3 linked regions of the Sus scrofa genome follow. The protein of the gene in region 1 interacts with the protein of each later gene in a biochemical or structural test. Links are inferred from orthologs where the notes say so. Each region holds a gene or a part of one and is shown in the gene's direction. Other genes may lie near its edges.

Region 1 (2,801 bases):
GCCATCTGACCTGGGGTGTGCTATGCCCCCTCTGGGCCTCTTTACACCCTGGGAGAGGCCCTTCTCTCTGCTGTGCATCTTAGAGCAGAAAGCCTTATGTTTGGGAGTCTGTGGTGGAGACAATAATACAACTAATAATAAGTTTTGAGACCTTCAAGGATTGAAGGTTAGCTAAGTGACCTGCGCAAGGTGACACAGTAATGTCAGAGCTTAGCACCTACACCCCCTTCTACACTTTGGGTGCCCAAGTGGGAGTGGGGTGGGGCTGGAGAATACCCGGGTGTGGTCTGAGGGGGCGGGCGGCTGTGCTGGGCAGGGCTAGGAGAGGGGCAAGGTCGGGCCCCTGGCAGATGCTCCAGTGGAGCTTGCTCCAGACTTGCACTCCCAAAGCCCCCAACCACAAGTCTTCGCATTTAGGAGAGAAGTCCCTATAGGCGTGAAATCCTCTCCTTCCAAAAGTTGGGGACGAGGGCAAGTTTAGGGGCGGGGCCGGGCCCTGGAAGGGCTTTGGAGATGGGCTACCTCTCCAATAGCCAGAGCAGGGGTTTGGGGTCTCCAGGATCCCGCCTGGGGCGCGTCCCCTCCTTAAGGAGTTGGGGCTGAGAGCCGCTGATCTTGAAGCCACGGCCTCCTCCAGCAGGGGGCGGGCCGCGGCCGCGTTTAGGGTGGGGGAAGGCGATGGCGTCGCCCCCTCCCCGGATTCCCCCCTCCCTTCTAGTACAGCCTCCAGCCCAGAGGGGGCGGTCCGGGGGCGGGTTCGCGCCTCTTCTCGCTTCCAATCCTGAGTCCGAAGGGTGGGGGTGGGCAGGGGGCGTGTGGCGGCCCCCGAAGCCGGAGGACCCCCCAAGGGCGCGCTCCAGATCTTCAGTCAGGTCACGGTGCCCCACCGCCGCCCTGCCGGGGGTCTCGGGCGGCCACAGCGTGTCCTCTGCGTGCCCGGGGAGGGGTTGGGGCGGCCGCCAGGCGTGACGCAGCCGTTGCCATGGCCCGCCTTATAAATAACCGGGCTCTGGAGAAACTTTAGCGAGTCAGAGCCGCGCACGGGACCGGGAAGGGGACCCACCCGAGGGTCCAGCTACCAGCCCCCGCACTAATAGCGGCCAATCCAGCGGAAAAAGCAACAGCAGCAGCAGCGACACAGCAGCGACAGTTCGGAGCCAGGAGGCCGCGCCACCTGCGGGCCGGCCGGAGCGGGCAGCCCCAGGCCCCCTCCCCGGGCACCCGCGTTCATGCAACGCCTGGTGGCCTGGGACCCAGCATGTCTCCCCCTGCCGCCGCCGCCTGCCTTTAAATCCATGGAAGTGGCCAACTTCTACTACGAGGCGGACTGCTTGGCTGCTGCGTACGGCGGCAAGGCGGCCCCCGCGGCGCCCCCCGCGGCCAGACCCGGGCCGCGCCCCCCCGCCGGCGAGCTGGGTAGCATCGGTGACCACGAGCGCGCCATCGACTTCAGCCCATACCTGGAGCCGCTGGGCGCGCCGCAGGCCCCGGCGCCGGCCACGGCCACCGACACCTTCGAGGCGGCTCCGCCCGCGCCCGCCCCCGCGCCCGCCTCCTCCGGGCAGCACCACGACTTCCTCTCCGATCTCTTCTCCGACGACTACGGGGGCAAGAACTGCAAGAAGGCGGCCGAATACGGCTACGTGAGCCTGGGGCGTCTGGGGGCCGCCAAGAACGCGCTGCACCCGGGCTGCTTCGCGCCCCTACACCCGCCGCCCCCGCCGCCGCCGCCGCAGCCGGCCGAGCTCAAGGCGGAGCCGGGCTTCGAGCCCGCGGACTGCAAGCGGAAGGAGGAGGCCGGAGCGCCGGGCGGCGGCGCCGCAGGCATGGCGGCTGGCTTCCCGTATGCGCTGCGCGCCTACCTCGGCTACCAGGCGGTGCCGAGCGGCAGCAGCGGGAGCCTGTCCACATCCTCGTCGTCCAGCCCGCCCGGCACGCCGAGCCCCGCCGACGCCAAGGCGCCCCCAGCCGCCTGCTACGCGGGGGCGGCGCCGGCGCCCTCGCAGGTCAAGAGTAAGACCAAGAAGACCGTGGATAAGCACAGCGACGAGTACAAGATCCGGCGTGAGCGCAACAACATCGCGGTGCGCAAGAGCCGCGACAAGGCCAAGATGCGCAACCTGGAGACGCAGCATAAGGTCCTGGAGCTCACGGCCGAGAACGAGCGGCTCCAGAAGAAGGTGGAGCAGCTGTCGCGCGAGCTCAGCACCCTGCGGAACTTGTTCAAGCAGCTGCCCGAGCCCCTGCTCGCCTCCTCCGGCCACTGCTAGCGCGGCCCCCGCGCGCGTCCCCCTGCCGGCCCGCCGGCCTCCGCGCTGCCGGGCGCGCCGCGGCCACAGTGACTCCGGGAAGCGCCCGCGCTCCCGCCCCCGCCCCCAGTGGCGCCGGCAAAACTTTGGCACTGGGGCACTTGGCAGCGCGGGGAGCTCGTCGGTAATTTTAATATTTTATTATATATATCTATATTTTTGTCCAAACCAACCGCACATGCAGATGAGGCGCCCGCCCGTGGTGTTATTTAAAGAAGAAATGTCTATGTGTACAGATGAATGATAAACTCTGCCTCTCCTCCTGCCCCCTCTCCAGGCGCCGGCGGGCGGGCCGGTTTCGAAGTTGATGCAATCGGTTTAAACATGGCTGAACGCGTGTGTACACGGGACTGACGCAACCCACGTGTAACTGTCAGCCGGGCCCTGAGTAATCGCTTAAAGATGTTCCTACGGGGTTGTTTCTGTTGCTGTTGTTTTTGTTTTTGTTGTTGTTTTTTTGGTCTTTTTTTGTATTATAAAAAATAATCTATT
Region 2 (3,752 bases), on another chromosome or scaffold:
CACAGCTTAGCACATAGTTGGCACTAAATATTTGTAAACTGAGTAGAAGAATTACCAGCCACCAGCTGAAGAGGAAATAAATACTCTAGTCTCCCTGGCGTTGAGGAGACCTGCTGAGTGTGGAAGAAGACCTGCCCAGACAGACTCAGAGAACATTGGAGCAGCTTGGCAGCAAGTTTAGCAAACCGGGGGATAAGGAACACATCTATACAGGTTTTTTTCCTTTTTTTTTTTTTAATTGATTAGGAAATGGTGAGGATGAAATTATGATTCTGTGAGTAACAAAATCGAATCCAGTTTTAATATTGCTAAAATCGCGATCAAAGAAATTTTAACTCCAACCACTGCCCACCAAAGTGAAAAGTACTGGTTTTGGTGATATTGTGTCATTCTACCAAGTGTGCTTCTACAGTCATCAGCGTTCACTTTTGGCTGCAGCCCTTCTTATTATCTTTTTTTTTTTTGGTTTGTGTGTGCAAATGTTTTATCATCTCTTCATTGATTCCTCGAAACAGTCCCTTGCAGAAAGCTGGTACCATTGCCTGGCGAGGAAGAAACGTTTCCTCTTTCAAAGACTCCAGTTTTTGGACGATAAGAATTGCTAAAGAGGAAGCAATCAAATCTATCTGCCTCCACCCAGCTCGCTGCTTCCTGGTTGTAATACGCTTTCAGATTCTCCTGTGAATTGTCTTTGACAAATAAAGCTGGATTGCCATTCATTTTTTGAGATCAAGTCTCTCAGTCTGTTCACCTGGAAGACAGCACATGGCAGTCAGGTAAACTCAATTATTTCCTCCGTAACCACAGTCTGTACCGAAGTGACATCAATACTAATCCCACATTGGGAAAATTTTCCTTCCTTCGTTTTTCACCAAGTTTGCAGCTGCCTTCACTGCCGTGAGGTCCGGGGCTTCTCTCCAGACTCCATCCGGAGGGCGCGAGTCGCGGTGAGGCGACCGTCGGCCTCCCAGCCTACGAAGAGGCGAGCCCGGTGGGCCGTTCCGGGAAACTGTCCCTGGAAGCGACTCCGAGGCGGGGCTCCCTGAGAACGTGGTGAAACCAAAACAGAAATTGGTGATTCAAAAAAAAAAAAAAAAAAATCATCTCAGAAAATTGCGCTTTCCAAAGACAGGTGTTGCCTTCACAAGGCTACAGTTCTCCAATGCCTCCAACTTTGACAGAACCTTTTGAGCGGCGGGTCGCCCACGTCTTAGGATGTCTCCCCACGCGTTCAGTCCTGGAAACTAAGGCCGCTGCCGCCACCACCCCTGCCCATCCTAAAGCGCCGTGGGCTACGCCTCCGCCACGTGCCCGCCTCCCGCAGTCAGGCCGCTCTCGATTGGCTAGCGGCGCTGCCAATCCCAGGGGGGGCGGGAGCAACCCGTAGGCCGGCGCTCCCATTGGTCGTGGAGGCGGCGGCGGCCGCGCGCGCGGCCTGAGCGAGGAGGGGAAGCCGGTGGCTGCGGCGGCGGAACGGGCGGAGGCTCCCGGTTTCGTAACCGTCGCTCCACCTCGCTGACTCGCGGGCTGCTAGGCCTGGGTCGGGTCCGGCCGTACCGCACGGGGCCGCTTAGAGTGGAGGCCGCCTGGGGGCAGGCGGGCTAGTGGCGCAGGTAAGGAGGCCGCGAGCGGGCTGAGAGAGTTGGGAGGCCGCGGTGCTGCCAGCTGCTCGCGTGGGCGCGGCCCCAGCGAGAGGAGCCCCGGCCCGGCCCGGCCCGAGGCGGCCGGCTTGCTGGGAAGGCCCCGCGCGGCCCGCGGCGCGGGCGGCGGCCCCGCGCGGCGTCTGATGCAACCTGCCGGCAACACCCGGCGAGGCCTCTGAGCTCATCCCTGGCCCCGGCCCAGCGCCGCGGCGCCACCCGCCGACCCCCGGGCTCCCCCGGCGCCCCTGCTGCCGGCCCGGGACGGGATGCGAGCCACGCCGTGCCCCCTCCACAACCCGGCCCTCTGTGTGTGCAGTGTGACAAGCCAGGCTCGTATTGGCCCTTGGGGATAAAGGGTGTTCCCAGAATAGCCGAAGGTAGACCTTATCTTAGTGGAGTGCCACCTAGGTTGTTTCCTGCCCCTCCAGAACTACGCGGGGTCGGGTAGCCGAGAATCGGATTCAGAAGTTATTAGAGTAGTCAGGGAAGGCAGTTGATTTTTTAAATACGTGATTTTACGGAAATAGTATGGTTCCTTATGGAGCTGTACTTTTGAATACCCTTCGTTTGACTGTCGAACACCGGTTGGGTGAACGTGCAGCAACCACGAGTTGAATGGAGCAGGGGAGGGCAAGAAATGAAGCGCTTCGTTAGCATGCTCCGAGGGAACATGCTGAAGCTAATTGCCAGCAGAGGTGTCTGGGTAGAGAGGATGGAAGTGTTAAAGGGAAGGCTACTCTGTTCTTTCAAGTAAGTTTGTGTGTTTTTATGCTTCAGGAGGTTTACTTGTCTGGCTTTTCTGTTATCTGAGGTTTATTTTGTCATCTGGTTTCTTAAAATGTGCTTTTAACTTTGGTGGGTTACGCAAAAATTGGTAGTTCTGTCTCCCAGCCTACACTCAATTGAATCCGTACTTGAAGAGATTATCCTTTGGACAGATAGGTTATGGGACGCTCAAAGAAATTTTTGAGATAAAATACTGATATTTCTGCATCTAAAAGTTCTTGGTATTTAAAAGTTAAAACCTGGTCAGCTGTCACTACTTGAGTAGTATTTGGGATAAAGCTATCCTTAAAGTTGATTTGCTATTTTGGAATAACAGTGTAAACAGGGCTAAACCATCATAGGATTCTAGTGAGTTGGAGAATTTTTCAGTTTCTCAAGTCTTGCTTCGGGCGGGTGCAGTTGGCTGATTCAGTCATTTTAATACTTGCCTAAAACACATAGGTGGGAGCAAAACTTCATTTTTTTTTTTTCCAGAATGCCCTCTAAATTCTCAAGAGCACATCATGACTGTTGATCTTGGAGAGGTGGTTTCATCCTTAGGGATTTAAACAACAGCTGGTGAGTCCTAGGTAAAGACAAATAGGATCTCATGGGGCTGAATTTGGTTCTGTGGTCTAAGATTTGCTTCACCTGATCGCAAAAATGGTAAACGCAGACACAATTCCAGGTTTATTGTGTATTCTTGGGCACCTCTGTGGGTTCTTGTACTGGTAGGTACAATGGTCTCCTACCTTTTTGGCTTTCTAGACGTATCGGTAAAAAAAAAAAAAAAAAAGAATTGCGATTGATTCCTTAATAGATGTGTATTTATAAATGTTTCTTTGTACTATTTGTGTGTGTTGTAAACACCACCAAAAGTAGATTGAAAGATGACCAAAAAAAAAAAAAAAAAAAAACCCATCCAGGTGAACATACATTCTTTTCATTCTCCAAAGGACCACCCGTGTACTCCCTGAAGGGATGTATCCTCCTTCAGGGACCCCTGTTTTGGGTCATGAAGGGCCAGCAGTGACAAATAAATAGAAATCCTGCTCAACTGGGTGTTTATCAACTTTGACTGCTTACCTGACTTCACTTGTAGTACAGGGTTGTCAGACCCTGGCAGCACATGCCTGAGAGCTTGAGGTTATGGAAAACACAACTGGACAAAGTGAAAAATAAAGGTTCTCAACTGAAATGAAGCAAAGACCAGATGAGAATGCTGTTCACTCTCTAGACTGGGGACTAGAAGCTGCAGGGAACTGTTGTTATTTTCCTGTGCACCTTTAAGAAGAACTGAGAGCCTTAGGTGGGTAGTAAGACCGGAACATCTCAGTAACACTC
Region 3 (3,652 bases), on another chromosome or scaffold:
TTCTCATTTGACCAGTTTTACTTGTAGCTGTCCTTAAATGTGTCCACTTTGTTGGATACAATTTTAAAGTCTTCCTTTCAGAGCTAGGATCTTGAATCTTACTTAACAGAGAATGATCTCAGACAAGTTCATTAAACTTTCAAAACAGCGGTTTTCCTGTATTTACCTTACAGGATTATTGTGAAAACTAAATTAGTTGTAAAATGGTTACGTGTAAAGTGTATATAAGGTGCTTAAAACACATGGCACATGCTCAGGGCCCGTCAGTGCTAATAATCTTTACAATTATTACTTATCCCAAGAGCTCTGGGAAAGGCTTCGTTTAATACTGAACAAATAGGAATAGGATCTGCGGCTTCATTAAATTTTTAATATCTTCTAACATATCTAATCTAGACCTAAAAGAATAAAAGTTACACATAAAAAATTCACTATTGATGAGAGTTCCTTGTGCGGCAGTGGGTTAAGGCTTCGGCATTGTCACTGCTGTGGCGCCAGCTGAATCTCCAGCCCTGGGATTTCCACATGATATGGGCTCAGCCAAAGGGAAAAAAAAAAAAAATTCACCACAGAACATTTGTTCAAATCCCTTAACAAATTAGAACAAAACAGAACAAAATTCTGACATTAGTTTTTCATTTGTTTCAGAGTGAGAGAACAAGTGATGTTATAAAGAGTGTTTACTTCTATCTTTAATATTAAAAATAATTGTATTAACTTTTTACTAAACTGACTATTTCTTTTATGTATAATCGAAGAACTCTTGCTGTCTGATGTATTTTGGAGAGATTAGAGTTTTTGAAAATATGGAAGCTTGTGTTAATTTTTGCCCTTTAAAATGCATGTTTCGGTTGATAGATTTTAACTTCACAGCCTGGCCTTTTCCAGGTTAAGATGTTGAGCCAAACTTCCAAGAATGTCTGCCAAAGAGATTGGAGCCTCCAGTCCCCCATAATCTAGTTAGTGAGAACCACAGCTGGGTAAATCTTTGGGGGAAAACTATTTTCAACTATTTGAAAACTTTTATATTAGGAAAATGGAAATACATTTGTAAAAACCTTACAACCAAGGAAACAAGTTGAGGGTCTTGGCTCAGTCGCTTAGGTGATGAAGTACCGCTTAGTAGCAATGAAAGCCTGACTGAACGCTGGTGGGGTCCAAAGGCTGTCAGATGTGTTTTGGATAAGTCATTCCCCCTTAGTGTCTTGCCATCAAGAAGTCAACAGGACGATAAGGATGTTTATTAAGTGCTTTTCTCGAATGCCTTTTAAATTTGCTATTAAAAGAATATTCAAGAGTTCCCATTGGGGCTCAGTGGGTTAAGAGTCTGACATAGTGTCTGTGAGGATGCAGGCTGGATCCCTGGCCTTGTTCAGTGGGTTAAGGATCGAGCATTGCTGAAAGCTTCAGCATAGGCTGCAGATGCGGCTCAGATCCAGTGTTGGGGTGGCTGTGGCATAAGACTGCAGCTGCAGCTCCAATTCGCCCCTAAACCAGGAACTTCCATATGCCACAGGTGAGGTCCTTAAAATAATAGTAATAACAATAGTAATAATATTCATAGCAGAAGCAATCTTTTATGCTGTCATATTTCAAGAATGGCTAAATACTGTAATGTTGAACTTTTTAATAACATCTGTCACACACACACCCCAGTGGTTTGTTAGAACCAGCTTTTACTGGCTCACAAAAGCCTACTGTTAAATTTTCAGGAGTTTGTATGCTGCTTGATATCAGACAAGTAGCTTGAAATTTGCCATGGTGGGAGTAGTTACACCATGGAAATTGGCAAATGCTACCAATGGAAGTTTTTTTTCCCCCCTCTTGGACAGCTGGTTGTTAAACACCAGCACAACTATGTCCCCAACTATGTCCTTAAATAAAATAAAGGGCTGTGAGCATCGAAGATAGTTGTAGTATGAAAGTTAATATGAGAAAAAGTATAAACTGGCTTTTTTTTTTTTTTTTTTTTTTTTGGTCTGTATTCTCAGGGATACGGAAAGACCGGAGAGGAGGGAGAATGTTGAAGCACAAGCGCCAGAGAGATGATGGAGAGGGCAGGAATGAAGCGGTGCCCCCTGGAGACATGAGATCTGCCAACCTTTGGCCAAGCCCTCTCTTGATTAAACACACTAAGAAGAACAGCCCGGTCTTGTCCCTGACAGCCGACCAGATGATCAGTGCCTTGTTGGAGGCTGAGCCCCCCATAATCTATTCCGAGTATGATCCTACCAGACCCCTCAGTGAGGCTTCAATGATGGGCTTGCTGACCAACCTCGCAGACAGGGAGCTGGTACACATGATCAACTGGGCAAAGAGGGTGCCAGGTAAGAACATGAAGCTCAACTTTTATTTTTAAGGGCCATTAGCTATTCATGAACTGGTCGTGATAGTGTGGGGACAATGGCTTGTGATCTAATCAGTTTCAAGGTTACATCAGGATTTGTTAATTTTCAGTGTCAGTACACTGTAATTCTCCTGAAAATTAGGGAATAATGTTTTACAATCAAAATCTAGAGTATTAAAGGCTTTAATCTGACATTATTTTTAACTCATCCTATTCACTAAAAAATCTGGGGTGGACACTCCGTTATAAATGCATTTCATATTGTGTGTTCCCAGTGTCAGAAGTTTTTAACACCAAATGATCTATGCCCTATAAAATTTTAATATTGAGGACTTTCATTCAAAACACCTAAATTATTAATAATCAATTTTACCTTAAAATATTTTCTTTTAAGATGTTTATGGACTAACGAGATAATAATAGGGTTTTTTTTTTTTTTAAACCGAATGCCAATTATTCATTCAACCATCTCTTCTCAATATTTTAGGAGAAAGATAATACAACAGAAAATAAATTAGGTTCTCAGCCCTGAGAGGAGCTTTTAGAAAGATAGCAGTGGCTGAAGTGATACTTGGTCCTTCAGTTGATACTCTCAGTACTGATGTTCCTGTAAACCTTGACTGTTGCTCTTGTTGTTCAGGGAGAAGAACTCTAGTTATTATGGAAACAAGACTAGAAAATGACCTCCTCCATGCCCCATCATATCCATTCAGGAGCTAAGGTAGATGAACCAAGGCAAGAGGAAGTTAAATCTTTTTTTTTTTTTTTATGGGCTTATAGATCAAATAAGTAATGAATTTAGACAGCAATTGTCTTGTTTGCTTTCTTTGAATAGATTAATTATTACCTATGAAGCATGGGATGTTCTTTATCAAACTAAATAAATGTAGAGTTTTGTACTTGCATTTTAGAGTTCACCAACTCTATTAATAGCCCAAGCGAACATATATCTGGCCTTATGTACTATTTCATGTATTTGCATATATTAACATATAAACTTGTAGTCCTTTGAATAAGGAACCAGTAACGTGATCCAAACCTGATATAGGGCATTTATTTAGGTGGCAGAGGTTGGGTTACATGGAAACATGGGAATTAATAAGCATACTTAGATTTTCAGGGTCAGTCCAACTGGCAAATAAAAACTCCCAGCCATCTTTGGAATTAAGTTTATTGAGAACTTACCTACCTTAGCATCCTCATGTGGAGCAGATCTATGACAACTAAATATTAGAATTTAATTATAATATGGTCGTAGGTTTTATCTTTAGATTTGTTACTGCCTTTGTTTTTTAAAACAATACT

Evidence for each region.
Region 2: the proteins of CEBPB (region 1) and CEBPG form a complex in vitro, tested with the Homo sapiens proteins (2 studies listed by BioGRID and IntAct, with this or other methods). The link is inferred for Sus scrofa from reciprocal best matches to the Homo sapiens genes CEBPB and CEBPG.
Region 3: the proteins of CEBPB (region 1) and ESR1 form a complex in vitro, tested with the Homo sapiens proteins (2 studies listed by BioGRID and IntAct). The link is inferred for Sus scrofa from reciprocal best matches to the Homo sapiens genes CEBPB and ESR1.

The regions. Positions count from the first base shown.
Region 1 is NC_010459.5:51,721,404-51,724,204, forward strand, and holds CEBPB (CCAAT/enhancer-binding protein beta), read left to right. Parts: upstream 1-1,229; coding exon 1,230-2,270; downstream 2,271-2,801. UniProt on the Homo sapiens protein: Important transcription factor regulating the expression of genes involved in immune and inflammatory responses. Also plays a significant role in adipogenesis, as well as in the gluconeogenic pathway, liver regeneration, and hematopoiesis.
Region 2 is NC_010448.4:43,163,507-43,167,258, forward strand, and holds the start of CEBPG (CCAAT/enhancer-binding protein gamma), read left to right. Parts: upstream 1-1,413; 5' UTR 1,414-1,613; intron 1,614-1,882; exon of another isoform or gene 1,883-2,393; intron 2,394-2,903; 5' UTR 2,904-2,998; intron 2,999-3,752. UniProt on the Homo sapiens protein: Transcription factor that binds to the promoter and the enhancer regions of target genes. Binds to the enhancer element PRE-I (positive regulatory element-I) of the IL-4 gene. Binds to the promoter and the enhancer of the immunoglobulin heavy chain.
Region 3 is NC_010443.5:14,372,648-14,376,299, reverse strand, and holds part of ESR1 (estrogen receptor), read left to right. Parts: intron 1-1,991; coding exon 1,992-2,327; intron 2,328-3,652.